4 linked regions of the Lepisosteus oculatus genome follow. The protein of the gene in region 1 purifies or fractionates together with the protein of each later gene. This does not show direct contact. Links are inferred from orthologs where the notes say so. Each region holds a gene or a part of one and is shown on either strand. Other genes may lie near its edges. The genes, in order: lsm4, prmt5, mepcea and patl1.

Evidence for each region.
Region 2: the proteins of lsm4 (region 1) and prmt5 purify together in Homo sapiens (co-immunoprecipitation; 3 studies listed by BioGRID and IntAct, with this or other methods). This does not show direct contact. The link is inferred for Lepisosteus oculatus from reciprocal best matches to the Homo sapiens genes LSM4 and PRMT5.
Region 3: the proteins of lsm4 (region 1) and mepcea purify together in Homo sapiens (affinity purification with mass spectrometry; 3 studies listed by BioGRID and IntAct, with this or other methods). This does not show direct contact. The link is inferred for Lepisosteus oculatus from reciprocal best matches to the Homo sapiens genes LSM4 and MEPCE.
Region 4: the proteins of lsm4 (region 1) and patl1 purify together in Homo sapiens (co-immunoprecipitation; 4 studies listed by BioGRID and IntAct, with this or other methods). This does not show direct contact. The link is inferred for Lepisosteus oculatus from reciprocal best matches to the Homo sapiens genes LSM4 and PATL1.

What each region holds. Positions count from the first base shown.
Region 1 is NC_090724.1:3,861,282-3,868,845, reverse strand, and holds the start of lsm4 (U6 snRNA-associated Sm-like protein LSm4), read left to right. Parts: upstream 1-4,556; 5' UTR 4,557-4,652; coding exon 4,653-4,655; intron 4,656-6,347; coding exon 6,348-6,389; intron 6,390-7,077; coding exon 7,078-7,176; intron 7,177-7,564. UniProt on the Homo sapiens protein: Plays a role in pre-mRNA splicing as component of the U4/U6-U5 tri-snRNP complex that is involved in spliceosome assembly, and as component of the precatalytic spliceosome (spliceosome B complex).
Region 2 is NC_090699.1:13,421,588-13,429,231, forward strand, and holds the start of prmt5 (protein arginine N-methyltransferase 5), read right to left. Parts: upstream 3,061-7,644; 5' UTR 2,895-3,060; coding exon 2,797-2,894; intron 475-2,796; coding exon 356-474; intron 1-355. UniProt on the Homo sapiens protein: Arginine methyltransferase that can both catalyze the formation of omega-N monomethylarginine (MMA) and symmetrical dimethylarginine (sDMA), with a preference for the formation of MMA.
Region 3 is NC_090698.1:10,420,845-10,428,707, reverse strand, and holds the start of mepcea (7SK snRNA methylphosphate capping enzyme), read right to left. Parts: upstream 3,035-7,863; 5' UTR 2,951-3,034; intron 2,922-2,950; exon of another isoform or gene 2,371-2,921; intron 1,758-2,370; exon of another isoform or gene 1,614-1,757; intron 1,529-1,613; coding exon of another isoform or gene 1,484-1,528; coding exon 1-1,483. Other genes in the region: zinc finger CW-type PWWP domain protein 1-like, read left to right, coding at 6,166-6,990. UniProt on the Homo sapiens protein: S-adenosyl-L-methionine-dependent methyltransferase that adds a methylphosphate cap at the 5'-end of 7SK snRNA (7SK RNA), leading to stabilize it.
Region 4 is NC_090701.1:44,819,068-44,826,860, forward strand, and holds the start of patl1 (protein PAT1 homolog 1), read right to left. Parts: upstream 3,059-7,793; 5' UTR 2,976-3,058; coding exon 2,961-2,975; intron 1-2,960. UniProt on the Homo sapiens protein: RNA-binding protein involved in deadenylation-dependent decapping of mRNAs, leading to the degradation of mRNAs. Acts as a scaffold protein that connects deadenylation and decapping machinery.

The sequences.
Region 1 (7,564 bases):
CGGAGCTAGACACGAGTAAGCGGCCTCTGATCCTGGACTGTCACCACTCCTGGTTTTCATTACCTCTCAGACCGTAATGATTTAATTGAACCAATTAAGTGCAGAACAATTGCAATCACCTTAACCAGATGCGAAATGAAAGGTGCCACTAACAGCTGCAGGAACTGGGGACTCCAGGTTCGGGGGAGACAGGTGAAAGGCACTTGGGTAAAACTGCCCTTGTATCACATGGTGTCAAACAGACAGGAAATGGCAAGCCAGGATTAATACAACCTGGTCGGACTGTTGTAAAAGTGCCTGCAGTTGCATTTCTTCACAGGCAGGAAAGCAAATTCTGCTAAGTTGGGTAGACTAGCAACAACCTGAACAACTATAAAGAACAACTGTGGTCACACAACATGTATAACACACAGACATGATATAAAGAAGTCTGGGGAGAGCCATTCCTCACAACGGCATTTGCAAACAAGCCTGGGCAGAAGGACTAAATCCGTGCAACAATGACTGATCTGCTTTTACAATAATCTTTTCTCACATTTGATTGGCACTTTGCACTTTTTTGCCATTTTCCCAGGGTAAAGCAAGATGTGCGATTGTAGCCAAGTATGAATTCAGAATTAAGTTCTGTATGATTACATTGATAGCAATATACTGTATAATAGCATATGGGTAATTACATGCATATATACATACATATGTGATAATTAAAGGCAGCAAAAGGTTTTTATATTTTACTAAGGCAGGAAAGTTGGTGTGTTCTTTAGGGAAAGAAATTGTAACCAAGGGGACTGCTGACCGTGAAATATACTCGCTTTGCTTCCAGTCTCTAACAGATGTGAACTTTTTTTTGTATGTTTTTATTAATGAGAACACAAATCATTCTCATCTCCCATTCCAGTGATCACACAAACTGGCCCTGGATGGGTAGGAGACAGTGAATCACATCTAAATGTCAGGTTCATGCATTACAATATTAGCTCTAAAGGTTTTGGCTTAAATCACTTGCCGATTCCTAATTTGTCCTAAAGGAGGACCCCCCCACAAAGTGTAATAAAGCGGGCAAAAAAAAAAACCAATATTTTTTATAATCGAGATCTCACATGCTCTGGTGTCGATTGCTCATGTTTTCCCAAGAAGCCCCAGGTCACTGGGTGGTATTTAGAAAGTAAATGATTCAGGTTTAGTAATGATTTAATTAATGAACTTGGGTCTGGACCACAGCTATACTGTAGGGAGCTACCGTCTTCCTATTAAAAAAAAAAGCAATATTTTTAATCACTGAATATGGATAGAATATAATCCCCATGTTTGCATGGATTACCTCCAGGTACTCCTGTTTTCTCTCCGTCCAGACACATACTGGCAGGTTAATTGGCTTCAGGGAAAGTGGCCCAGGTGTGGGTGTCTGCTGGTCTCTTTGTGCCCCATCGCTTGCCAGAAGAAACTGGGGCTCCCCTGCCACTCTGAATTGGACAAGGAGGTTGGAAGAGGGAGTGATGGAGGATGAAAGTTCATACTTTAATGCAGTTGTTGCTAACCCTGGTCCTGAGCTACTCCTGTGTCTGCTGGTTTTCATTCCAGCTGAGCCGTTTCATCACTGATGCAAGTTGATGCCTTTAATTGACCCGTTTGCTCAGTCCTTTCTTTACCTGTTTTTGTGTGCAGTCCTTGTTTTGAACAAACCCTTCTTGAAGCGTATTGTTCCAGCAATAGATTTGTTTGCAACTTTATGCCGTTTGTCCTCAACTAGATCATTAGGAAATGGCTAATGTATTTCTGTTAAAACAGTTTGGAACAAGTTTTATGTAAGTAAGGTTTGTGTTGAACACTATATCAGACACAACCACAGTGAGAATTTCTGTCCGTCTCCTGCAGGGGTCAAGCTGGTTACATTTCAGCTAACACACACGAGTCGTGGGAGTTCTGACTTGCAGCAATTGGCCCAAGGTGATCTTAGTTAGAAATCCCATCCAACATTTTAAGGGCTGAAAAATGATTTTAAAACCTGCCTCATTTAGAGGATTGAAAGATATTCGACTTGAATAAAAGCCAGAACAAACGGGGTTCCCTTATCACCAGGGTTGGAAACCACTTCTTCAACGAGATAATTTTGTGCTTACAATTAAAAAAAAAAAAAGCTATTTTTAGCATTTGTACAATAAAACCAAATTGATTACAATAGCAACATTACTTGTACAAATAATAACCTAAATGGATGCTTTAGGTACAGTATTAACCTTTTATGGTATTTACGATAATGGAAAGGGTGCTCTCTAAAATAAGGCTCAGTAGCAAACTCGCCGACATCTCACATATCCACCAGTCTGACGTTTCATTAATCAAAGGAGTGGCATTTTAATGGTCTTAAAAATTTAGAAGACATCTTTGAGTTATTCATACAACTCTTCAAAGGGCGTTTATTTCTCAACTTCAGGAAGGCCACGATATGCACATGGGGTCATGGAACAGTCACCGGAATAAGACATAAGGAGTGGAATAAACACTGATAAACATTACCAACTCTGTGATCAACGTGCAGAAGCTTGTTCAGGACAGAATATTGATTACTGGGGTGCTTGGAGCAGCCACAGCACTGATAGACAGTGACCTTTCCAGCAAGCCACAGGAGAGTTTGAGAATATACAGAACAGAACAAATGAACCACAGATATGCTTTCTTACCGCGTGCTGGCAAATAGGGTTTCAGAACATGGAGGGGGGGTAATGACTGTAGGTTTTTGTATATATTGGCAAAGGTTATCCACTCCAATCGAACATCAATCCTTCCTTCAAAAATCTCTCTCTACAACCAAATACTCTCTGTCTCTCAGCCAGTGTGCAAGGTATTATTTATATTCTAATGTGGTAGAGGTATGTGAAAGATATTTAGGTAACAAGACTCCCAGATGGAACTGCTCCCATATAGTCAACTAGCCACTGCAACAAATCACGATATAGGGAATGCGACTACTATTGCAAAATGGTCACTGGCTATTAAATATAACTTGTGACAGATCTCCCCCCCGTTTTGATGGTAACGAAGGGTGAGGAATGTGTACACTTACCTTCGTGTAAATTAAAATGAGGCGGGGTGGACGGACACCACTCGTATCCCATTCAGTATAGCCTGGTCATCTGTACTGCCCTCCGACATGCACACGCGCCGTTATCTCGGGGAGAAAAAGATTTTTTCTCATCCTGCACAAACATGCAACACATAAGGACTAAGGATGAATGGAGTCTTTGTGCGTTTTCTTTCGGGTTCCTCCGTCTTCTTTAAAGATAACTTAAGCTTTCATTCACGTGGTATTTTTTTTTTTAATTACCCCAATCCCTAGCAAACACATTAAATACAACCTTTGACACTAGTAACCTGAAATCTCCTTTTGAGATTAGGAGTGTAACCTGCAGCCCACCCTACAAGACTGCATTAACCCATACTTGACTCCTGAAAGCGTGATAATGTCGGCCAGCAATGACATTAATCAGGCTCACCTTATCAACAAAAATCTCACGAAATTTGCTTTTCATTGTCATTTCGTCGGCACAGAACCTATTTTTAATTTCAGGTCTGCTGCTCTTGAAAAAACTGAAGCCGCCATTTGCGCGATCTGTCGCTTAAAAAACGCCACGAAATATTTAAATGCTTTAGGTCTGTGTCCTAATTTAAAGAATAACTGAATTCATTCCTCAACTCTACACAGCTGTGCATTTGACAATGTTTATTCTAAACAAGCTGAAATGAAATGATTAGGAATTGCTATATCAGTAGTCCTGTCCTGTATAGGATGCGCCTATCACCAGAACAATAAGCATTCTGATGATAGGTTCGGAAACACGAATAATAGAAAACTATTGAATATTAATAGCAGATCAAAGGTACAAAGAGAAAAATATGTGGACATAGTTGTTCCAAAGCAGAAGATTTGTATGCCTCGCTGAATCATGATTAATGTTCCCTTATTAAACACCTTTAAATTATTTCGATAAATCTAATTAAACTCGTTACTAATAAAATCTGAACAATTTAATGCTGTCATGCTAACCGAGGGATGTGAGCTGTTGAGCTCGAAGTTTTGGTGGGGACCTTTTAACTGAATTGGCAGAGGGCCTAGTTAAATATCGAGGACTACGTGTGATATCACATCCTAAATCACATGTTCACATGGGGGTCTGGATGTCTCCAAATGTGATTTTTCGTAGGGACATCTTCAGATCTATTACGTCTGTCAAAAACACACTTAATACATTATTTTAGAAAAGGTAATCGCTTCCATCATCATATATATATATTACATATTCTTTCTTTTTCACACTGAAATATATATTTTTCTAAAGTTCCTTTGCTAGCTTTGTAATATACTCTTCCGCGTGTTCACTCTGCAGAACAGAAGGAGGATGCGAGCATGTTTTTACGACAGAAGCATACTTTACGGCAAACTGTACAAATCAATTGGCGGCAAATTGTTATCTCAAACTAACTATAGCATTCCAACGAAGAACCCTCCTTCGCTTCCTTTTGATTGGCTTATTTTACTCTTCACTCGCGTTTTTGAGGTATGATTGGAGAGTACAGTTATCCCTCATGGTTGTATGATTAACAGGCTGGGTTAACACAGTGAAGCAAAAATTATAAAAGGAAGCAGAAAGAGAATGGTGAGTTTTGCGTTTTGTGTACGAGGTTTGGGGGTTTATAGGTACTTATAGGTATTTTTATAGGCACTTTTACGGGAAAGGGAGGAGATAATTATTAAAATGCGGAAACGTGTGTTTACATCGCCCTTCACAGCGAGTAGATGCGATACTTAGAGGTTTAACTCGTATACCCGCATTAACAAGTACATTGCTTAACTTTACATTATCTGCAGAGGAAAACGCTTAGTTAATTCCATAGTCGCAGAAATGGTAGTTTTCATCGTAAGTTTCGTGCTCAGAGGTAACTAAATGTCTGTCATTCGTTAACATAAATCTCAAACAACGTGCCGCAACAGCAATTTAACATGAAATGCGAGTCCTGCGATGTTACCTATACACGTGTGTTACACGGCCTGCAGCTCTTCTTGAGTCTCTCGTTTGCGTTTACATTTTCCCCGTGTGACGAGCAGATTCGTACTGGTCCTCTGAATGTCTCTAACATCTCGTGTCCAAGTACATGATGTAACCGATTTTCAATTACAGTTAAATCTCTGGATAGACAAGTTAACCATTAGTCAAAACGTATATTCTGTTACCAGTGCGTTGAAAGTCAAATCTCTTAAAAATCTCTTTAAATCACTCTTTAGTGCTGTTAAAAAAACGGATATATGATTCACATTTCGTTATAGCTTGTGGTTTCTGCATAAATAATTATTTACAATATCAAGAGACTTACTCTTGGTCTAGACCTGAGGATAGCTGGCTTTAATTTTGCTAAGCCAGATGCTGCATTTTGCAGTGTTAGCATATAACTAACTGCATTTCCACTGTGTTCTGGCCCTGTTAGTTATTAGCACAAGTGATATGAGGGCAGCTCCATGTCATCTAGGTTTCAAGGGGGTGGTCAGCACCTGTAATGTGTACAAGAGCCTAAGTGTTATTACTGAGCAGGGCTGGGCCTTATGATGGGAGTCCTCTAAGGATAACCAGGTTTCTGCTGTAAGTAATAATTGCTTACACTTGTATAGCGCTTTTCTGGACACTCCACTCAAAGCGCTTTACAGGTAATGGGGATCCCCTCCACTATGTAGGCTCCCTGTGCAGCATCCACCTGGATGATGCGACGGCAGCCATAGTGCGCTGGAACACTATTAGTGGGGAGGAGAGCAGAATAATGAAGCCAATTCATAGATGGGGATTATTAGGAGGCCGTGATTGGTAAGGGCCAATGGGAAATTTGGTTACAACCCTACTCTTTAACCGGAATGCCCTGGGATTTTTAATGACCACAGAGAGTCAGGACCTCGGTTTTACGTCTCATCAGAAGTACAGTGCCTGCTTACAGTATAGTGTGCCCGTCACTATACTTGGGTATTAAGACCCAGATGGATCACAGGGTGAGCACCCCCTTCTGGCCCCACTAACACCTCTTCTAGCAGCACCCTTAGTTTTTCCCAGGAGGTCTCCATTCCAGATACTGGCCAGGCTCACTCCTGCTGAGCGTCAGTGGGCTGCCAGCTGGGAGTTGCAGAGTGATATGGCTGCTGGCCGAGTGTATTGAAAAAACAGACTTTTAGGGTTCTGAGTCACGTCTTTTCTTTTGTATTACTACTGTATTTCATAGAAAGTGGAATTTGTTAATTCTGCTCTTAAAAATATATTTTTTTGGTATCCATATCACAAAGTTTTCCTAAACCATTGTTGCTTTTCCAGCTGCCACTGTCATTGTTGAAGACTGCTCAGAATCACCCTATGGTAAGTAAGTGCGCATAAAATAATGCACTAATAAAATTACAGGGGCACCCTAATGAAAAAGGACATGAAATGTCTTTTACTCAGAACTGTTTTATCCGCTCAAGTTTTCTGCCAGCACCTGTAGCTTTTGATTTCCTATGTTTTACTCCTGTATTTAATGATTTCCTATTGAATGATTTCACCATGAAAAAACATCATGGTGAAAAGTATCAAGAGATCATATGGTTACATGTGTTGAACAGACAGAAAATGCTTTAAACAGTGTAAGAAATAGCTCTCATGGTCATATTGAGACAAATGAGCCTGTTGCTTTAGAGAAGGGTCCTGTATCCCCAGGCCTGTAGTGTGGGGTAGTGGTCAATGCTCTGGACTCCTGACAAGGAGTTAGAGGGTTGTGTGTTCAGAACCTAAGTGGTGATAAAGCTGCCAGACCCTTGAGTAAGGTACTTTACCCCGAGTGCTTTTGTGCAATAGATCTGTGTAAATCAAAAAGTAATTATAAACTCTCTCACACTGGATATAATTTGTATTCCAACATTTTTATAATAAAAATGTTTGAAAATGTGTTGTACTTTGTCGTCCGCTGTGCTATGCGTTTGTTTTTTGAATGAGATCTTTTCTTTTGTATTGCTCTTGTATTTTCTAACTGTTCAGAGCCCATCCTGACCCTTTTATTCTTGTTTCAAAGCTGGTGGAGCTGAAGAATGGGGAGACATACAACGGTCACCTAGTGAGCTGTGACAACTGGATGAACATCAACCTGAGAGAAGTCATCTGTACATCTAGGGTAGGACCTTTCTCATTGCTGTGTAGCGGGACTTGAAAGAGATGTCGTTAAATCTTTCGAAGTGTGTGACAGGTGGTGATGTATAGGTGCTGCAGAAGCTGAATTTGTACAGTTAAGGTACTGACCACTAGGTGGCTCTGTATGTTTAGAAAAGGAAATACTAGCTTTTCAGGAAAGCCCTTTAAAATCCTGATACTGTTATTCAGGTCTCCTCTGGTCTGATGAAAAGAGATGGAAGAGTTTTCACTGAAATCAAAGTAGACTTATAAGCCTGATGGAGATCAGTGTCTTAAGTGAGCTTAAGAATATAGCTTAAGAGAGTTATTGCCCTGGGTGAAACTGCAGCGGTGTGATAAAGACAAGAAGTTGTTTTTCGAACCTAACGAAG
Region 2 (7,644 bases), on another chromosome or scaffold:
CTGGACACACACACACACACACACACACACACACACACACAGAACAGACCCCACCACACCCCCACTGGACACACACACACACACACACACACAGAACAGACCCCACCACACCCCCACTGGACACACACACACACACAGAACAGACCCCACCACACCCCCACTGGACACACACACACACACAGAACAGACCCCACCACACCCCCACTGGACACACACACACACCCCACCACACCCCCACTGGACACACACACACACACACCCCACCACACCCCCACTGGACACACACACACACACACACACACACACACACACAGACCCCACCACACCCCCACTGGACACACACACATACTCTCACCTCTTCCTGAAAGCAGCAGGTCAGATCGGGTCTGAGCTCCAGGTCGAGATCGGGCCGGTTCTGCATCAAACTCTCGGCGAAACCGAGGATGAAATATCGGCATGCAGAGGAAATCAAACCTAGAAATGAATACAGACACACTGACTGACTGGACACTCCAGTACATTAACACTGCACTGAGAGAGAGGGGTTCATACAGACACACTGACTGACTGGACACTCCAGTACATTAACACTGCACTGAGAGAGGGATTCATACAGACACACTGACTGGACACTCCAGTACATTAACACTGCACTGAGAGAGAGGGGTTCATACAGACACACTGACTGACTGGACACTCCAGTACATTAACACTGCACTGAGAGAGAGGGGTTCATACAGACACACTGACTGACTGGACACTCCAGTACATTAACACTGCACTGAGAGAGAGGGGTTCATACAGACACACTGACTGACTGGACACTCCAGTACATTAACACTGCACTGAGAGAGAGGGGTTCATACAGACACACTGACTGACTGGACACTCCAGTACATTAACACTGCACTGAGAGAGAGGGGTTCATACAGACACACTGACTGACTGGACACTCCAGTACATTAACACTGCACTGAGAGAGAGGTTCATACAGACACACTGACTGACTGGACACTCCAGTACATTAACACTGCACTGAGAGAGAGGGGTTCATACAGACACACTGACTGACTGGACACTCCAGTACATTAACACTGCACTGAGAGAGAGGGGTTCATACAAACACACTGACTGACTGGACACTCCAGTACATTAACACTGCACTGAGAGAGAGGGGTTCATACAGACACACTGACTGACTGGACACTCCAGTACATTAACACTGCACTGAGAGAGAGGGGTTCATACAGACACACTGACTGACTGGACACTCCAGTACATTAACACTGCACTGAGAGAGAGGGGTTCATACAGACACACTGACTGGACACTCCAGTACATGAACACTGCACTGAGAGAGAGGGGTTCATACAGACACACTGACTGACTGGACACTCCAGTACATTAACACTGCACTGAGAGAGAGGGGTTCATACAGACACACTGACTGACTGGACACTCCAGTACATTAACACTGCACTGAGAGAGAGGGGTTCATACAGACACACTGACTGACTGGACACTCCAGTACATTAACACTGCACTGAGAGAGAGGGGTTCATACAGACACACTGACTGACTGGACACTCCAGTACATTAACACTGCACTGAGAGAGAGGTTCATACAGACACACTGACTGACTGGACACTCCAGTACATTAACACTGCACTGAGAGAGAGGGGTTCATACAGACACACTGACTGACTGGACACTCCAGTACATTAACACTGCACTGAGAGAGAGGGGTTCATACAAACACACTGACTGACTGGACACTCCAGTACATTAACACTGCACTGAGAGAGAGGGGTTCATACAGACACACTGACTGACTGGACACTCCAGTACATTAACACTGCACTGAGAGAGAGGGGTTCATACAGACACACTGACTGACTGGACACTCCAGTACATTAACACTGCACTGAGAGAGAGGGGTTCATACAGACACACTGACTGGACACTCCAGTACATGAACACTGCACTGAGAGAGAGGGGTTCATACAGACACACTGACTGACTGGACACTCCAGTACATGAACACTGCACTGAGAGAGTACCGATGGACTGTTTCACCTGCTCTGTCAGATGAACCCAACTTTATCTGAGAGTAGGGGTTACCCCAGTGTCCTAGTGTCCTGGCCAAATTTCCCCCTGTCCTTTACCAGTCATGGCCTCCTAATAACCCCCCTCTCTGAACTGGCCTCATCACTCTGCTCTCCTCCCCACTGAGAGCTGGAGTGTGTGAGCGGACTGGAGCATCATCACACTGGGGGGGTGGAGGGGATCCCCATTACCTGTAAAGCGCTTTGAGTGGAGTGTCCAGAAAAGCGCTATATAAGTGTAAGCAATTATTATTATTATTAACTTCGCGCGGCGGGTGACGTCACCGCCGCCTGACGTCACACCGACAGCGGTTGAAAAACTCTCGAGAAGCTGCTGCGGATTCCCGGCTTTATGTCCACAGTCCCGGAGCGGGCCGCGCTCACGCCGTTTCCCGTGTGAAACGTCTCCGGCAGCGCTCACGGCATTTAGAAGAAAAGAAAAACGACGAACGTGCTTCCCCGCGTCACACCGGCAGCCGGTATTTACAGGTTGCGAACTAAAGTCGGTCATGTTATCGAGCTGGAAGAGACGGGGCTCGGAGCAGGTCCGGCTGGATCGGAAGGTTCTGGACATGCGAACCCCGACAGAGCGGCCCGGCTCTCACGTGCTGCTGCAGCACCCCACAACCTGCCGCCCCCCCATCCCCCTCCTCAAGAAAGAAACGCACAGCGACCACGGCTGCTCATTACCCGAGTCTAGCGACCGCCGCTAGCGTGTCTGCCACTTCGGGGACGGAGTTAAGATCCCGGCCGCTGGAGACCCGACTCGCCGAACTCACGGACGCCATCTTTACCCCCTGTCTGGCCGACAGACACCGAGACCCACAAGCCCGGCGGAGCGGCGGAAGAGAGGGCTCACTTCGGAAACGGGCGCCATCTTGGCTCCGGCGCTGACTTTGAGTCGCTGTAGAAAAGAACCGCGCTCTGATCCAAAATGGCGGCGCACCGGGATCAGTTTCACGTCCCTTTTCCCCGGTCTCTTAGCAACCGCGTCAGGCGCGGGCACGCACGAGTGAGCGAAGGGCCAATCATTTGCAGGACTGGCTTAGAGTGACAGTTGACTCAGCCAGTGGGAGAGAAGCTAGGGGGGCATGCGATGAAAGGTGGATCCATACAGCCAATCAGCGAACGGAAGGGGAGGGGTACTGTGGGTCGTGGGTTTCGGTGAGACGGGAATTCCGAGATTTCGTAGCGAGACTGCGCGCTGGCAGTATCTTTCCCGCGTGCTCGGCCGAGGCAAGGCTAATTAAGCAATTACTGGAGGCAGGCGCATCATGCAATCAAATTTAGCAGTCTTTAAGGTCCCTTTGTAATTCAGTGAGAGGTTATCTGTGCTGTTAACTGTCGCTTTAGCTGGTAATTAATATTTGAGCAAAATGCATGAGTGTTTTACACTATGGACATGGACACTGTTCTTATTTCAGATTCTTCACGTTCTCCCGACAGGAGCTCGCTGAATTCAGTCGCCTGATGAACTCTCACTCAACAGGGGATTAATTGCTCAGTCCCACCACTGTCTAGCCGTCGGTCACAAAAGCTGATTGTGTTCAAATGACGCCCCCAAAATGTTAATTACTATGCGAATTGGGTGATTCCCCCTAAAACCCGAGTCGCATGAGTAGCGAGGAGGAGCTGGTTTCGCAAGCTGCGGTGCGTCAGCGGTGCCGCCAGGGGGCGGCATGACAGCCCTGAAACCAGGAGACGCAAACTCCGGAAGAACACGGCGCGACGTGAACGAGGTTTCAGTTCCACGGCGATCTCGCTATCTTTGGTGCTCCGTGGAAAGGCGGGCAGGAAAGAAGGACGAAGGACACAATTAACCAGTTATTAAACAATTACCCCAGGCAGTATGTCTTCAGACTGTGGGAGTCGTGTCTCTCTCTCACCTCTCAATTCAGTTCAAGGTGCTTTATTAGCATGACCGATGGGTACAATCAGTGTTGCCAAAGCAAATAAAGATAATAAAATTAACATGAAACAAAACATGAAATCAAATCTACACACATTTACAGCAGAGACATGTCATAAAATATTGACATATACTGTAGGCGGCTGGAGCATTATTGGGAGACGGACTCACTGTTCCTCAGGCTGTGACAGGAGATCACATACTGGGCTGCCAGTTCAACTGAGTTCCCTCCTCCCTCTCCCTGTAGGATTGGGACCCGTTGGGATTCTGGCAGGTGTGGGAACTCTGGGATTAGATTTCTGAATTTGGGGAAGAATGTTTCTCTAATCCCAGAGTATCTGTCACAGTGCAGTAGGAAGTGCACCTCTGTCTCTATTTCTCCCTGCTGGCAGTGGGAGCACAGCCTGTCCTCTCTGGGCAGCCAGGTCTGCCTGTGTCGCCCAGTTTCTATGGCCAGACTGTGGTCTCTGAGCCTGTACTTCGTCAGGGTCTGTTTCTGTTTGTTCTGTTCTCTAGCAGTGCTGTCCTGAGGCTGGCTGGTGTCGGTGTGGCTCAGGTCGGTGAGCCTCAGGACCAGCTGGCTCAGGGGGCTCTGTTTTGGGCTCAGCTCTTGGCTCAGCAGGGCTTTGTGGTGGTAGGAGTTTTGGTCGCTGTTTTTTAGGTGTAACCAATACTTTAATACTCTTTTCTGTATGTTTATCAATAGTGGGTACTGGCCTAATTCGGCCCTGCACCCGTTGTTAGGAGTTTTTCTCTGCACACGGAGGATGTTTCTACAGATCTCCATGTGCAGAGTTTCTGTGGGGTGTTTGTCCCATTGGGTGTAATCCTGGTCTGTGAGGGGACCCCAAACTTCACTGCCGTATAGGGCAATGGGTTGGATTACACTTTCAAATATTTGGAGCCAGATTCTTGTTGGTGGGTTGATGTTGAAGAGCCTCCTTCTTATTGCGTAGAAAGCCCTGAGTGCCTTCTCCCTCAGTGCCTTCACTGCCAGGTCAAAACTCCCGGAAGAGCTGATGGTGAGACCGAGATATGTGTAGCTGGATGTGTGCTCCAATGTGTTGTTGTTCAGTGTGAATTTGTACCTGTTTCCCTGAGGTCTGGCTTTCTTCTGGAAAACCATAACTCGCATGAAACCCACCACATCTATTTTAGATCCCATTCCCACCACTTTATTCCAGTCCTGTTTCTCTTCTCTCTGTCCCATTGTCCTCAATATAATACATGAATCCTTGAGCACCGGCATTGTACCAACGGTCCTCAAAACTGGTGCTATTACCCCAGTGCCAAAGAAGCCTAACATGGCTCTCGACAATCTTAACAACTTTCGCCCCATCTCCAACTTACCCTTTCTCTCTAAAATTCTAGAACGTGCTGTCACACTTCAGTTACATAACCACCTCATGACAAACAACCTTTTCGAACCCCTCCAATCTGGCTTCCGTCAACTTCACAGCACAGAAACCGCCCTAGTCAAAGTCACCAACGATCTCCTAATAGCTTCTGATTCTGGTTCTCTTTCCATACTCATCCTTCTTGATCTCAGTGCTGCCTTTGACACTGTTGACCATAACATCTTGCTTTCTCGTCTCGAGACTATGTTTGGAGTCTCTGACACTGCCCTCAAATGGTTTAAGTCTTACCTCACTGATCGCTGTCACTTTGTCTCTCTCAATGGGTACAGGTCTGAAATTGGTCTTGTCAAGTCTGGTGTCCCTCAGGGCTCAATACTGGGCCCCTTGCTCTTCAGCATTTACATGTTCCCACTTGGTCAGCTTTTAAGATCACATGGCCTCAGCTTTCATTTTTACGCTGACGATACTCAAATATACATCCATACCGAACCCGACACTGATGTGGCTGTCTCTATTCTATCTAATTGCATCTCTGACATAAAAATTTTGATGACTCAAAACTTCCTTCATCTTAACTGTGACAAGACTGAAGTCATGCTTATTGGTACCCCCCATCAACTTCGTAAAGCCAGTCCTGTAACCCTGTCTGTAGATGGCTCTGTACTTGAGCTCCAATCAAAATTGAAAAACCTTGGGGTTATATTCGATTCTGGCTTAACATTCGACCCACATGTACAGCATACTGTCAAAACATCTTTTTTTCACCTTAGAAATATCGCAAGACTACGCCCTATGCTATCATTAACTGTGGCTGAAAAGCTGATCAACATATTTGTATTCTCTCGAATTGACTACTGCAATGCTCTGCTCCCTGGGGTATCTAAATCTACTCTGAACAAGCTGCAGTATGTCCAAAATTCAGCAGCCAGAATCCTGACCAGATCTAGTGCAAGTGTTCACATTACTCCTATCCTGGAGTCCTTGCACTGGCTTCCGGTCAAATTCCGCGTAGACTTTAAAATCCTCATGCTCACCTACAAGGCTTTACATGGCTTGGCACCTCAATACCTGTCTGAACTTTTATCGCCCTACTCCCCACCTCGCAACCTCCGCTCTTCAAATTCTGCCCTCCTTACTGTCCCCCAAGCCCGTCTACATTGTATGGGCGACAGGGCCTTCTCCTGCTATGCCCCCAAGCTCTGGAACTCCTTGCCCAAGGATATTAGAGAGTCACCTTCTCTAAACTCCTTCAAATCCAGACTCAAAACCCTCCTTTTCAGAAAAGCCTTTACTTAACTGGTTCCATTCTTCACCCCTCTGCTCTTCTTAATACCATCTTCCACGGTCTCCTCTATTGTTATTGGTGTATTGTTGTAATTATAATTGTGTCCTGTCTTGTGAAATTTTCTTATTTATTGTTGTAGTCTTCTTATTTATTGTTATTGTCATCCTGTAAAGCGCTTTGAGAAGCCACCTTTAAAGGCGCTATATAAAATAAAGTTTATTATTATTATTATAACTCTGGTCTTGTCCAGATTGACTGTCAGTGCCCAGGTCTGACAGTCCTGCTCCAGCAGTGCCAGGTTCTGCTGCAGCCCCTGTTCTGGGTCCAGATTGACTGTCAGTGCCCAGGTGTGACAGTCCTGCTCCAGCAGTGCCAGGTTCTGCTGCAGCCCCTGTTCTGGGTCCAGATGGGCTGGCAGTGCCTATGTGTGACAGTCCTGCTCCATTAGAGCCAGGTTCTGCTGCAGCCCCTGTTCTGGGTCCAGATGGGCTGGCAGTGCCTATGTGTGACAGTCCTGCTCCAGTAGAGCCAGGTTCTGCTGCAGCCCCTGTTCTGGGTCCAGATTGACTGTCAGTGCCCAGGTGTGACAGTCCTGCTCCAGCAGTGCCAGGTTCTGCTGCAGCCCCTGTTCTGGGTCCAGATGGACTTGCAGTGCCTATGTGTGACAGTCCTGCTCCAGCAGTGCCTATGTGTGACAGTCCTGCTCCAGCAGTGCCAGGTTCTGCTGCAGCCCCTGTTCTGGGTCCAGATGGGCTGGTGGTGCCCAGGTCTGGTTCTGCTGCAGCCCCCCCCTCTCTCTCAGTGCAGTGTTAATGTACTGGAGTGTCCAGTCAGTCAGTGTGTCTGTATGAACCCCTCTCTCTCAGTGCAGTGTTAATGTACTGGAGTGTCCAGTCAGTCAGTGTGTCTGTATGAACCCCTCTCTCTCAGTGCAGTGTTAATGTACTGGAGTGTCCAGTCAGTCAGTGTGTCTGTATGAACCCCTC
Region 3 (7,863 bases), on another chromosome or scaffold:
GCGCCTCCTCGGCCGCCAGCTCGGACAGGTAGTGCCGGACGTTCTGCCGCGCGGCGTGCACCAGCGCGCCGTCGATGTCCAGGCCGGTGACGCGGGCCGGCTGCCAGTTCTTGGCGAGGGTCAGCGTCAGGTGGCCCGTGTTGCAGCCCAGGTCCAGCACGGCCTTGCCCCGGAACCACTCGGGCCGCAGCACCCTGACGCGCGGGTCCTCGCTCCAGCCAGGGTTGCGGTAGCCGTAGTACTTGTTGTAGTTTCCGTACTGGAACTTGCGCTGCTGCTGCTGCTGCTGCTGCTGGCGGCGCCGCCGGTGCGTCCCGGCGCCCCCGCGGGCGCACGAGGCCGAGGCGGCGCTGCCCGGCGCCCCCATCCCGCCGGCGCCCCCGCCCACGGGGGTCTGGAAGGTTTGGGCTTGCTGCCGGGCCGCCCGCCCCTTCTCCGGGGTGACCTTGCGGCCGCCCGCGGCGGGGCCCGGCCCGGCGGCGGCCGAGGAGGAGTCGGACTTGCTGGACGTGCGCCGGCGCTTGCGGTGCCTCGCCGGGCAGGAGGGCGGCGCCGCCGAGCCCGGGGGGGCCGAGGCGCAGGAGGAGGGGTCGGCCGCGCTGGGCGGCAGGATGGGCTGCACCACCTCGTCGCGGCAGTTGATGGAGGTGTTGAGCTCGTAGGGCCGCGGGGACTCCGGCACGGGCGTGAGGCCGGCCCCGGGCGCGGCGCCCTCGGCGGGGGCCTGCGGGACCGCGCTCCCGGGCACGGAGGAGGACAGCGCCGCCCCGGCGCCCCGGCCCTCGCGCAGGGCGCCCGCCCGGCCCGGCTCGGCGGGGTCCGGCTGCGTGGAGACGCCCCCCCCGCCGCCGCCGCCGCCGCCGCCTCCGCCGTGGTGCCGGTGCCGGTGCCGCTTGCGGCCCCCGCCGCCCGTCTTCATGGGCGACACCAGCAGGCCGGTCTCTCCGCCGGCGCAGTTCAGGTTGAGCGGGTCGGTGATGTCCTTGGGGATCAGGATCTCCACCGGGTCGCGGCTCTTGGCGGGCAGCGGGGAGGACTTGGGCGTCTCGGCGTTCAGCGCGCGGTTCACCTCCTCGTCCAGCAGGCTGTTGAGGTTCAGGGGGTCGAAGATGTTGCCCCCCAGGAGGAAGTTGGTGGGCAGCACGGGGTCGCTCTCCGAGTTGGCGCGCCGCCGCCTCTTGCTGAAGCCGGGGTGCTTGAACCCCACGTTCACGCTGTTCCTGCGCTTGAAGGCCTTCTGCTGCTGCTGCTGCTGCTGCTGCTGCTGCTGGAGCCCGTTCTTGGGCCTGGCGGCGCCGCAATCCCGGCCCGGCTGCTCCGCCGGCTCCGTGCCCGCTTGGGCGGCGGCGCCCCCCTGCGGGCGGGGGGCGCTGCTGCGGTCGCCGGCGCACTCCCCCTCCGGCTGCGCGCGGCGCTGGGGCTGGTCCTGGGGCCCGCTGGCGCCCAGCCCGGCCGGCTCCTTGTCCACCGACATCTCGATCATCTCCTGCTGGGCCCCGGGGCGACGCCGGCGGCACTGCGCATGGACCTGCGGAGCAGACACAGGGGGGCGAGAGTCAGCGCGGCACGGCGGCGGGGAGCACCGCGTCTCCCACCCCTCCCATCCCGCTCACCTCATAGGCCGCCCGACGATCGCTCTAGCCCCTCTCACCTCTACAACAACTCCCCCCCCAGCCTCCTCTGGCCTTGAGAGCACCAGCACACTTTCCCCGACAAAGACGTGTTTCACAGAAACCAGGCAGCCAAGCAGCCCGTCCCTGCAGAAAACAGAATTCCTTCAGCGGCTGACAAACGTCTTTCTTTTGTTTTTTTAGTCCTCGGCACTAGGAGCTGCTTGGCTTTGCGAATGAGCTGCCGAGTCTCTTGTCCATGTGCTTTGTGGTAGCAGCAAAGCAGGAAAAAAAAAACGTTGTCTATTCGTCCGGCAGCGTCAGCCCACCCTCTCCCGTGCGTGCCCCTGCGTGCTCCCGCCCCCTCCCGGCAGCGAGGAAGAGATTTGCATAGCCACGCCCCCGCGTCGCCAAACGTCCCCCCGCGCTCATGAATAATTCATGAGACATAGGAGCTCTATGGAGGCAAGAAAAAAAGCGCACACATACACACACACACGGAGACACAGATACACACATACACGCAGCCTGGTCGCCGTATTCTCCGCCTTCCCGTTTGCTGAAGCTGCACCCCCAACTTTCCCTCCCCCGAGTTTTTTTAGTAAGTCAATCGGAAAAATTAAATCCACCCAACAACTGACTTGGCGAGAGACATTTTTTTTTCTGGATCGTGCCCGCAAGTTTTGTTTTTTCTTAAATATATATTTATACATTAAAAGTACCACACGAAATCAAAAAGTATGAAATCTGCAAGACCCACCCCCTCCAAGAAATCAGTTTTCGTCTGAACTGAATTATTTAAAAAACAAAAAAACAATTTTTTTGTTTGAACTCGCAGTCAGTGTGTGTGTGAGTGTCAGTGAGCTCTCTCTCGCTGGACCCCCCTCTCGCGGCTCTAATCAGCGAGACTAGCTCGAGCTGCTGGATCTCGCGCTGCGTTTTGGCGTCTCCTCGAGCTTTATATGTCTCTCGTGTAGCCCAGGAAAAAAAGACCGGCAGCCACGCCAGCCAATCAGAGGAGGAAATACCTCCCCGCCTTTCTTCGTCTGACCAATAGGAAGGAACGGGGGGAGAGGCGTAACGACTAACCTCGTCTCTTCCTCCCCCCTTTTCCCTGTAGGTCTCTAGTACAGTGCCTGACAAAAATACATTTCCCACAAGGGCTGGACGCTATTTTTATAAACCAACGCCCTAATATGCGAAAAACAAATGAAAATAATTTCACTGCGTCTCGGCTGACTTTCAGCGTTGGCCTGTTTTTTTTTAATTACAACCGACAGCACTTTTTCTCCCTGTTCAGACAGGAAACCGCCGCGGCCACCCCAACCCGTGTAAACAACCTGGTGTTTCACTGCCGCCGGAACGAATCTCGCTCTTTCTCCGGCACAGCCGCACCCACACAAAGGACGATAAAATGCTCGCACGCTGAATAGTGTGATGTGTCTTCGAGAAAGAAAGTCGTAGCGGTTAAAACGCGGTCCCCGCCCCCTCCCCCTTCCACCGCTTCCCCTCCCCCCCAGCACTCGGCGCTTGCCTGCGACAGCACGTGAGGCAGGTCCTCGAGCCTTCCGTGGAGGATTCTGGGACATGTAGTTTTCCCAGTCGCGACAGTCCACTCCAGACGGTTTCGCGACTGGAGAGCTTCTTCCTAAACGCGCACAGTGAAGCGCAAGGCGTGTTATAAACGCACCTCTTTCCACTGACGTCTTCTTAAGCACGTCAGTCTTTTACCCTCTGATGACCGTCTTCGAGTTACAAAGCTCACCACAGCGAATTCACCGTGAAGAACTAACGTTGTTCAGTGACCCCGTGGTTCACGCAGCGGCATCTACACGACTAGATGCTTGCAAAATCCAGCCGCCCCCCCCCCCTTCGTTCGATACAACGTTATTCACTCCTCCACTTCATTTTATTACAATAAAGCCACCCGCAGTGGAGCGTTTTAGAACTGTCCCCTGCGCACAGGTGCCGGCTGAGTGACAGAGGTCAGTCCTCTCTCGTGTGATGTTCCCACCCGCGGGCCCGGGCTGGACCGACTTCACGCCTCCAGGCCCCCGTGTCGCCCGAACGGCGCACACGTTCCCACGAAGCGTTAACCAGGAGTAAGCGCCCCTCGCACCACCCAGGCAACGTACACAATAAATCGAGTGGCCTGTGGTCTGTCGCAGTTTCGGCCTCCCTTGTCCATTAATCCCGGTTCGGCGGAGATTTTTAACCAGGTGCGGCACATAACCCCCTTCCACAGCCCCGCGAACACCAGCAGTGAGTTACTGTGATGTGTTGCTGCTACTGACCTCCGTTTCCATCGCGTTCCTTGAACACACAGGCGCCCGGAGTGCACAAATCCTGTCGCAACACGCGAAGCACAGGAGTCGGGAAACCAGCGAACCGGTTGTCAGCCAGTGCTGGATAAAATCCGAGGAGGCAGAACAGGTAAATAAGAATAGGCCAGTTGGCAGCATCCATAAAGATAACTGGTAAGAATGTGTCCACAAACACCACTCGTTGAGGTAAATTCATTACAGATTAACGTGGTTTAGTCGTCGTTCTGGCGCTCTTCTGACGTCATGATACATCGTTAACAGCTGGAACAGCATTTCTTGTATATTTTCTCCCGCTTTGTGATATTCTTTCTTTACAACGATAACAGAGTACAGTAATAACCCTCAGACGTCAGGCCTACGTGCAAAGAAATAACATTGAAATAAATGCTAGTATTTCCATGTAAACGTGCCACTCGCCTGCTATTTCAACTACACTGACTCCGTTGGCGAGGGCAAGTGAACGAGTAACCGTAGTGCTGAGGAGCCGAGGACTGTGGCATTTTTTTGATCCCTTGCATACATGATATAACCGCTCTTTTGTAGAGTGTTTTTACACAATGTATTATTCCGTATTGTGTTAGATCTTAGATCTGGCTCGAGACCGCCCTCGGCCCAGCGTGCTCGGAGGGCGGCAAGGCGCGCGAGACCTACCCCGTTGCCCGCGCCAGTCCTCGCCTCGCTGCCCCTAAAAAACGGCTCTAAAACTTGTGACGAATTTTGTTCAGCTTTGTGTTCTCCATCTCCGAGTTTTACTTGTTAAGACAGAAACCTGGCGGTTTTGTGGAGAATGGACGAAGGAAAAGGTAAAAAAAGGAGCGTTTTTTCTCTTTTAATCTTGTTCCAGCCTGGGTAGGCAAGGCCCGGTCCAGCTGTGGGATTTCCGTCACGGTACCCGCGACCGGTGTTACTTGGGACCAATGACTTTTTTATGAATTTATTCTACATTTGCTTGTGTTCTGTTCACATTTTCCCGAGTTTTTATTTTAAAGATGTGATACCCCTCTTTGAACGGATAACATGTTACTTTCAGTCGCTTTTCCCAACCAATGTACAAACCTTATCGCCATTGGTTCTTTAGTTTTCTTTTAAAATGTAAAGAAATGGATGAGATCGCAAGTAAATGAATACACTTCATAAATCCGAAGTCATTGTTTTCAGTAAAAGAAACAACAGTTTCTATCCACCGTACAGAAAATGTGATTCGATTACATTTGACTGCAATTTAACATACAGATCGTCAATCTGTCTTCGATGTGAATTACATAGACAATTGGGGCTTTAATTATTTAAATCTTTCCTTTTTCGGGTGTCTGGTCTGGAAGGAAATTGACAGTACGTTTTAACAATGTTTATATGAGACCCACCACCAAATATTGTACATTGAGGTTTAATAATATTGGAAACCTGGTTGAGAACCTTTCAAAAACCAAATTATTACAAATCTCAAGTGACTCCCTAAAGTAAATGTGGGTAAATTATGTAAAACACATACATAATTCAAAGACCTGCACGTGTCTGAGACCAAGGTTGTGTATGTGAGACTGCAAGCGTGAATGTGTTACTTAAGAGTGTGTGAGTCCTTGAGAGTCTGTCTGTGGGTGTGTGTGAGTCTTGATAGTGTGTCTGGGTTGTGTGTGAGTCATGAGAGTATGTCTGGGGTGTGTGTGTGAATCTTGAGAGTGTATTTGGGTGTGGGTGAGTCCTGAGAGTGTGTCTTGATGAACTCACCTACTGTGTTTTCTCAAATAAGGCGACAGTGGTGCAGTGGTTAGCGCTGAAGCCCAGTAGCACTGGGGCCCAGGCTGCTATCTGTGTGGAGTTTGCGTGTTCTCCCTGTGTTTGCGTGGGTTTCCTCCCACAGTCCAAAGCCATGCTGGCAGGTTCATTGACTTCTGGGAACACTGGCGCTGGTGTGAGTGTCTGTGTGTGTACCCTTTGCACAAAGGGTGGTGGGAGTGTGGATCAAGCTGTCCAGATGTGTTGCTAAAGCCGATATCCAGGGCCCTTTCATGAAACAGCTGGACAAGATCTTGGCATCGATTGGCTACCAACTAGCAAACCTGGCACATGTGCCAACAGGCCTGCTCTCGCCTGCCACCTTCCTCCTGTGCTTCAAGAGTGATTCCTGAAATCTGACAGCGAGTCCTCCGGCAGCTTGTCCAGCCGGCGTTCTTGGATTTAAGCACGACAGCGTTTCAGATGTGTGTGTCCCTAGTTTATGTCCCATCAGTATGTCTTTGTGTTGTGCAGAGAAGCTGAAGATGAAGAAGCCAAAGTTCGCTCCCCCAGTCGCCCTGGGTGGGCCGGGCGACGGACAGGGGAAAGGGCCGCAGGAGGAGAGGGGAGCAGGAGTGAGGGAGAGGGAAAAGGCGGCGGGGTCGAGAGGAAGGCCATGTCGGAAGGCCGGCGAGGAGAGCCCGGGACGGGGAATCGGAGCAGGGAGAAGCGCAGGAGAGGAATCCACGGAGGTGTTGGGAAAGGGGCCGATTCCTCGGACGGGGAAGAGCAGGTCAGCGGCTGCGGGCGGCAAGAGGCCCGAGGAGCGGAGCCTGAGGGTGCCGGGGCTGGAGGGCCAGGCAAGGGAGCTCCTGGGGCCTGGGAGGACAGGGGGGGAGAGAAGGAGGAAGGGGAAGGCTGTAGGCCCCGGTGGAGGTTCGGGAAGGGGAGAGGGGTGGGAGGAGAAGACCCTCCGGGGGGAAGAGGAGGAGGGCACTGCGCGGCCAGGCCCAGCTGGGATAAAGGAGAGCCTGGCAGGCTGCACGGGTGGAAAGGGCTGGGCGGGATTGCAGCCCGGAGGCAAGAGAGCGGGAGCCGCAGAGCCGAGCGGGAGGAAGAAGGACAGAGTGGGCGGCCAGCGCGGAGACAGGCCACTGCCCGGAGGGACGGGCTCTGTCCTGAAAGAGGGAGCAAAGGAGGGAGACCGGCCCAAAAGCGACAAGAAGAAACCAAAGATGAAAACTGGGGAGTCAGACCAGGAGCCTGAGGAGAAACCTAGAGGCCTACCTGTCTGGAGGACAACAGGGGAAGAGAGGGCAGGGACCCCAAAAAACAGCAAGGTAACAGAGGGGTGAGAGAAGAGTGTGGGTTAGAGAGGGGGTGAGAGAGGAGTGTGGGTTAGAGAGGGGGTGAAGGAGGGTGGGTGAGAGAGGAGTGTGGGTTAGAGACGGGGTGAGAGGGGAGTGTGGGGGTGAGAGAGGAGTGTGGGTTAGAGAGGGGGTGAGGGAGGGTGGGGTGAGAGAGGAGTGTGGGTTAGAGACGGGGTGAGAGAGGAGTGTGGGGGTGAGAGAAGAGTGTGGGTTAGAGAGGGGGTGAGAGGAGTGTGGGTTAGAGAGGGGGTGAGAGAGGAGTGTGGGGGTGAGAGAAGAGTGTGGGTTAGAGAGGGGGTGAGAGAGGAGTGTGGGTTAGAGAGGGGGTGAGGGAGGGTGGGGTGAGAGAGGAGTGTGGGTTAGAGACGGGGTGAGAGAGGAGTGTGGGTTAGAGAGCGGGTGAGAGAGGAGTGTGGGTTAGAGAGGGGGTGAGAGAGGAGTGTGGGGGTGAGAGAGGAGTGTGGGTTAGAGACGGGGTGAGAGAGGAGTGTGGGGGTGAGAGAAGAGTGTGGGTTAGAGAGGGGGTGAGAGAGGAGTGTGGGTTAGAGAGGGGGTGAAGGAGGGTGGGTGAGAGAGGAGTGTGGGTTAGAGACGGGGTGAGAGAGGAGTGTGGGGGTGAGAGAAGAGTGTGGGTTAGAGAGGGGGTGAGAGAGGAGTGTGGGTTAGAGAGGGGGTGAGAGAGGAGTGTGGGGGTGAGAGAAGAGTGTGGGTTAGAGAGGGGGTGAGAGAGGAGTGTGGGTTAGAGAGGGGGTGAAGGAGGAGTGTGGGGGTGAGAGAAGAGTGTGGGTTAGAGAGGGGGTGAGAGAGGAGTGTGGGTTAGAGAGGGGGTGAAGGAGGAGTGTG
Region 4 (7,793 bases), on another chromosome or scaffold:
AGGGAGACGGTCAGTGGGTCAGGGTAAGAATGTGAAACAGGAGTACTGCAGGATGGGGGAGAGACACCGCAGGAACTGGGAACCAGGGGAGAGGAGCAGCAGGGTGGCAGAGATCAGAAATCAGAGAGTCACAAAGGACAGGAAGAGATACAGACTGAGAGGAGGGGGAGGAGAGTCAGATAATGTGAGAAACATAGTCGATAGAGTGGATTGTGAAAATCAGCTGGCCACAATGAACTAGCAGAACCCAGCCTGGGCCATAATCTGAAGAGTCATCTGCTATCAATCTACGAGCAGGCGGAAGTAGAGCTTTGCATAACAGTCCTGCACAACAACTGTGCAGCATTTCTGAAAACAAGCACCATAGCCCAGAGCCATGTGTGAGAGAATGTCGCCACAGAGAGATCACCACACATGGGGGAGGAGTGAGACAGGGATAAACACCCTGGAAAGGCCCTGCTCAGTTATGTAAAAACACCCAACAATACATTAACTGCTGTATCCACTTCAGGGTTATGGGGGAGCCAGTGTCTATCCACAAGGCAAGGTACAACCTGGACTCCAGTCCCTTGCAGAGCAGACACACAGAAACAACACACACACACTCACACCAGGGCCAGTTTTCCCAGGGCTCAACTAACCTACGAGTTACGAGAGGACAGGCTCAGCTACCACAGCCTGGACACAGACAGACCTGGCTGTGTAGAGAGGACAGGCTCAGTGACCACAGCCTGGACACAGACAGACCTGGCTGTCCAGAGAGGACAGGCTGTGCTCTTACTCCCAGCAGTCAGAAGCAGAGACAAAGGCTGCACTGTGAGAAATACTCTAGGATTACACAAACATTCTTAAAATAAATCTAAGCCCAGAATCCCCACACCTGCCAGAAAAAGAACAGCTCCTGATCCTACTGGGGGAGGAAACTCAACAGAGCTGCAGCCCAGTATGTGATCCCCTGTCACAGCCCGGGGAAAAGAGAGTAGTTTGTCTCACCATAATGTTTTATGTTATGTATGCAAATGTCCAATGATGTGCAAATGTAAATGTTCTGTGAATTGTATCTGCTTTTGGAACACTGTACATTATTAGCCAATAAAGCTCTTTGAACTTGAATAAAAAGACACTAGAGGACAGGAGACAATAATAGGAACTGAGTGTCCAAACCAAAAGACCCAAATGAAAACAACAGAACTCAATCTAAAAACTGAGGATAGGAGGCCCTTCGGTACATAAAGGGTGGTGGGAGTGTGGAACAAGCTGCCCCGCCATGCTGATGAGGCCGATACCCTGGTTTCATTCTAGAAAAGAACTGGATGAGATCCTCCTCCAGGACACAGACAAGATCCTGGGTTCGATTAACTACTACCGCACAACCTTGAAGGGCAGAGAGACCTCCACTTGCTTCTGACCTTATGTCTTATGGTCTAAATAAGATTACATTTTGACCAGTAACTTGATTTGGTTGATCTTTCACTGACACTAGTATTCACAGCTCATCCCCACACTAATACATACTGATCTCTTACTGACAACAGTGTTCACAGCCCATCCTAGATATACTAGTCTCTAGATACATTCATCTCTAGATACACTAGTGTGTACCTCCACACTAATCTCTCACTGTTCCCAATGTTCACAGCCCATCTCCACACTAATACACACTGATCTCTCACTGACACTAGTGCTCACAGCCCATCTCCACACTAATACACACTGATCTCTCACTGACACAAGTGTTCACAGCCCATCTCTACACTCATCGGAGTCACTAGTGTTCACAGCCCATCTCCACACTAATACACACTGATTTCTCACTAACACTAGGGTTCACAGCCCATCTCTACACTAATACACACTGATTTCTCACTAACACTAGGGTTCACAGCCCATCTCCACACTAATACACACTGATCTCTCACTGACACTAGTGTTCACACCCCATCTCCACACTAATACACACTGATCTCTCACTGACACTAGTGTTCACACCCCATATCTACACTAATCTGAGTCACTAGTGTTCACAGCCCATCTCCACACTAATACACACTGATCTCTCACTGACACTAGTGTTCACAGCCCATCTCCACACTAATACACACTGATTTCTCACTAACACTAGTGTTCACAGCCCATCTCCACACTAATACACACTGATTTCTCACTAACACTAGTGTTCACAGCCCATCTCCACACTAATACACACTGATTTCTCACTAACACTAGTGTTCACAGCCCATCTCCACACTAATACACACTGATCTCTCACTAACACTAGTGTTCACAACCTGTCCCCACACTAATTCAGCAGCTAACTCACTAACTCAAATCCTGGTGCACAGCTCGAGAAATAAAATATATAATTTCCAGGGGCTTTAAAACCAGTTTCCCCATTTTGGGTGTAATCTGCAGAGATACCCTGGGGCTCAAACTATAGGAAATGTACTTGTCTTTGGGCCTCACACTCTTCATGAGAGGTTTATGGTCAGAATCTGCAGCAATTTCCCTCCAAAACGCTTCCCCAGTGATAGACTCGCCGGTAATCACGAGTGGGACCGAGACAGCTTTTCTCGTCAGATACTTTATAACGGTGGATCCGTCACAAAGACCAGTCGTTTTTTAAAAAGAAACCCAACATATCGCATTGCTGATTATAAACAGGGACAGTTTTGAATGTCATATGGCTGAAACAGTGGCGGAAAAAACTAAACAGGTAAGCGTAACCCTAGATCGGCCAACTGCATCCCAGAGCCGGCAGACGCTCCCTCGGCGGGGAGAATTAAGCAGGAAACGCCGAGGCTTGTAGGCCTCAACCAGGAGATACGACACACAGCGCCACACAGACAAAGTAAGAGGACGCCGGAAAGAGCTCCGCAGCCCATGCAGACATACCCACATAATGCCGGACAATCCTACAGGCAGCGGAAGCCTGAAAGGCGATTTTTGGAGAAGCAACGTACCTGAAATCGGAACATGAACCCGCACCGCTCCTGACGCCGCTGCTCACGCCGGGCCGCGCGCACGAACGCACAGCTGCGTCCGGCGCGCTCATGCTGCCCTGTTGTCGAGCGCGAGCACTAACAGTCGGATTGGGCGAGAAAGCGCGTGCCCGTCGCTACTTCCCAAATGGCAGTTCTAATTATCTGACAGAAACGTTGTATATATGTTATAATACAAGGAGAGAAAAAGAACTGAGATATTCAACACACCACTGCCATTCATAAGGCTCCATAATGATCAATTATCAATAATCAGGAGCACATTTAATTTATAGGGTGTCTTTCATGGTTCAGCACCTCAAGACACTGTACAACTAGACAGGTGAGCACAAATTTAAACAAGTTAACAGTAAGTGAAACAGAACTAAAACCTAGAGCACAACAGTGAGTTTCAAGGCAGGCTGTGGAAGCTGCTGACAGGGCTGTAAGATCTGACATGAGCTGGGAGATCTTTCTTCAGTCTTGTGTCCAGTTTCTTCCAGAGTCTCTCAGTGTGTCTCAGAGTCCACCATGTCTCCTCGTGTCTCCAGTCTTTCCCAGGGCCTCCACTCCCAGCATCTTCCTGGGTCACCAAGTTGTTCAATGGCTTCCCAAATCTCCCAGTTCCTCCAGTCTCTCCCAGTGTCTCCAGTCTCTCCCAGTGCCTCCAGAGTCTCTAGTATTTCCCAGAGTCTCTAAAATGTCCCAGAGTCTCCAGTCTCCAGTGTCTCCAGTCTCTCCCAGTGCCTCTAGTATCTCCAAGCGTCTCCAGTCTTTCTCAGTGTCTCCCAGGCTCTCCAGTCTTTCCCAGTCACCCAGTGTCTCTGGTCTCTCCCAGTGTCTCCCAGAGTCTCCCACTGTCTCTGGTCTCTCTAAGTGTGTCCCAGAGTCTCCCAGTGTCTATAGTCTTTCCCAGTGTCTCCAGTCTCTCCCAGTGTCTATAGTCTTTCCCAGTCTTTCCAGTCTTTCCCAGAGTCTCCCAGTGTCTCTAGTCTCTCCCTGTGTCTCCCAGAGTCTCCCAGTGTCTCCAGTGTCTCCAGTGACTCCCAGAGTCTCCCAGTGTCTCCAGTCTCTCCAAGAGTCTCCCAGTGTCTCTAGTCTCTCCCAGTGTCTCCCAGAGTCTCCCAGTGTCTCCCAGAGTCTTGTAGGGTCATAGTCCAGCAGGCCTGTCAGTAGTTGTGTGTTAGACCAGTGGTGAAGACTGTTGTGTGGTTTGACCATGAATTCAGGTATTTCATGAGATCAGTATTAGTTACTGTGGCCTATGTCCATGCACTGTGCTTGGGAGTGGTCAGCATTAGGGATCTAGTAGGCAGAGGTTGAAGTCAGGTGGTTTTCTTTATTCTATTTCAGATCTTTACATGTTAGCTTTGTGTCTTGTGTCTTGTGTTTTTAGTTCTGTGTATTCAATGCTCACATTTAAGCAATTTCCTTTAAATTTCCTTCGGGGCAGAGTGGTGGCTCTGTGGCTAAGGCTCTGTGCCTGTAGCTGGAAGGGTGCTGGTTCAAATCCTGCAGCTGGCAGAGGAATCATACTCCATTGGGCCCCTGAGCAAGGCCCTTCACCCCAACTGCTCCAGCAGTGCTGTACAATGGCTGACCCTGCGCTCTGACCCCAAGCTTCTCTCCCTGTCTGTGTGTCTCATGGAGAGCAAGCTGGGGTATGTGAAAAGACAAATTCCTAATGCAAGAAATTGTAAATGGTTAATAAACTGATGTTATTATTACTATATTATTAATTTTCTTCACAGATTGTACTTGTGGCTTCTGTGCTTTAGGCTTGTGTACACACACATTTTGGGTTTTATATTCAACATTTAATCAATAACAATTTACAGTGCATTAGGAGCAGTGTGTAAATCAGAGCAGACATACAGAGTACAAATGCAGAAGAGAGGAACATTATAATTGTTACATGTAAAGAAAACAAGAAAACAAACAGGCTACAAGCACGAAGAGGGCACTCAGCCCATCTAGCCTGCTTGGAAGCAAGTAGTTCATTGATCCAAGTACCCCACCCAGCTGTTTCTTGAAGAAAAACAAAACACAGTTTCATCTTCAGCAACACGGCTGTGCAGCTTGTTCTACACTCCCACCTCTCCTTGAGAAAAAAAACCTCTCCTGATCTCAGTTTCAAAAGCACTTCCACGTACTTTTCATTTGTGTCCTCTGGTTTGTGTTTCAGTGTTGATTCTGAAGAAGTCCAGTGGATTGAGATTGTCTGAGTCTTTGGGGATTTTGAATCCTTGGGTCAGATCAACTTGTAAGTCTTCTCTGTTCCATACTGAAGCGACTCAGTTCCTTCAGCCTGTCATTGTGGGACACTTCCTTCAGGCTAAAGAGACTCAGTCCCTTCAATCTGTCATCGTTGGAACACTCCTTTCAGACTAAAGAGACTCAGTTTCTCCAACCTGTCAGTGAGGGAGACTCCTTTGAGTCCGGGCCTGACAGAGATGGACAGGAGATGAGAGAAGAGGAAAGTAACCGGGGGTACAGTTGTGTGTGCTGGTTAATTAAAATGGCCTCATGGCCAGTGTCAGAAAAAAAGGATTTTTCATTTGATCTTTATTTTATTCAACCCCAGACAGCGTCACAATAAAGAAGTGTGCTGTTGTTTACAGAGTGTTTCTGATCCCAGACTGGGAGAAGGGCTTTGATCTCCAGGCTGCAGGCTCCTCTTTCCTTTCCTGAGAGAAAGGAGAAAGGAAGGATTGCTCTCAGAATACTAACAAATTCTTACTTGTATAACTTCTATCATATAAAATACAAGAAAGTGCATTCTAGATGATGTTTCTGTCAACACTTCATCATCATCACCACCAACACCATAATGTCCATCCCCATCACCTCGATCATAATCTCTTTCATCGCCATCATCTTTCCCTTCACCGTAATCCAAAATCTACTTTCTTATAATCATCTTCATCATCCCCATTATTGTAATCTTCATTTTAATCACCCTAACACCCATCATTACCATTGTCATCTTTTCCATAATCATCTACATCATAACCATCATCATCATCCCCATAATCATCACAAGTATCATCATCATCTTCATTCCCATAATGACCCTGATCACCATCACCATAATCACGATCATCCCTAGCATAATCACCCCCATTACTATCATCATCACCATCATCATCATCACCCCTATCAACGTCATCACCATCATCACCACCCCATCATCATTGTCATCATCACCATCATCATGACCTTCATCACATCATCATCATCACTATCACTATAACATCCAGCATCACCGTCATCTCCTCTATCAACATCACCACCATCATCATCGTGACCTTCATCACCATCATCACCACCATCATCATTACCATCACCATCCCATCATCCTGACCTTCATCCCCATTATCTTCATTATCCTCATTACCACCATCAGCATCATCCTCATCATTTTCATCCCCACTACCATCATCACCACCATCTTCCCCATCATTATCATCATTCCCATCCCTTCCTATCATCAGTTAGGGGGATGGAGGCTCTTCAAGAGGGCTTTGTGCTGTTGACTTATGGAGAAGCACAACTAGATTGGCTTTCTAGCATGTTGGATGTTGAAACATCGAGAAATGGAAAATACAGGCAAATTTAGATACCAGCTGCTATCTTCCCAGCAGTCACTGAGAGCACAGTTCCCAGCCTTCCCAGCTTTGTTATTCCCATAATGTTAAAAAAACAGTTTCTGTTTCTTTTGGATGTGGTATATCTCCCTTCTCCTCTTTCAGTAATCCAGATGAACAGGACCTTTTTCTGCCTGTTTGTGTGCCTGTCTGTCAGCTTGTCCATCTGTTGGTGTCAGTAAGTATGTCTGTCAGTGTGTCTGTGTGTGTATACCTCTGTGCCCGTACCTGTCAGTGTGTGTGTACCTGTCTGTCAGTGTGCCTGTACCTGTCTGTCAGTGTTCCTGTACCTGTCAGTCAGTGTGCCTGTACCTGTCAGTCAGTGTGCCTGTACCTGTCAGTGTGCCTGTACCTGTCTGTCAGTGTTCCTGTACCTGTCAGTCAGTGTGCCTGTACCTGTCAGTCAGTGTGCCTGTACCTGTCTGTCAGTGTGCCTGTACCTGTCTGTCAGTGTGCCTGTACCTGTCAGTGTGCCTGTACCTGTCAGTCAGTGTGCCTGTACCTGTCAGTCAGTGTTCCTGTATGTACCTGTCAGTCAGTGTGCCTGTACCTGTCAGTGTGCCTGTACCTGTCAGTCAGTGTGCCTGTACCTGTCAGTGTGCCTGTACCTGTCAGTCAGTGTGCCTGTACCTGTCAGTGTGCCTGTACCTGTCAGTGTGCCTGTACCTGTGAGTGTGCCTGTACCTGTCAGTCAGTGTGCCTGTACCTGTCAGTGTGCCTGTACCTGTGAGTGTGCCTGTACCTGTCAGTCAGTGTGCCTGTACCTGTCAGTGTGCCTGTACCTGTCAGTCAGTGTGCCTGTACCTGTCAGTGTGCCTGTACCTGTCAGTCAGTGTGCCTGTACCTGTCAGTGTGCCTGTACCTGTCAGTCAGTGTGCCTGTACCTGTCAGTGTGCCTGTACCTGTCAGTCAGTGTGCCTGTACCTGTCTGTCAGTGTTCCTGTACCTGTCAGTGTGCCTGTACCTGTCTGTCAGTGTGCCTGTACCTGTCAGTCAGTGAGCCTGTACCTGTCAGTGTGCCTGTACCTGTCAGTCAGTGTGCCTGTACCTGTCAGTCAGTGTGCCTGTACCTGTCAGTGTGCCTGTACCTGTCTGTCAGTGTGCCTGTACCTGTAAGTCAGTGTGCCTGTACCTGTCAGTCAGTGTGCCTGTACCTGTCTGTCAGTGT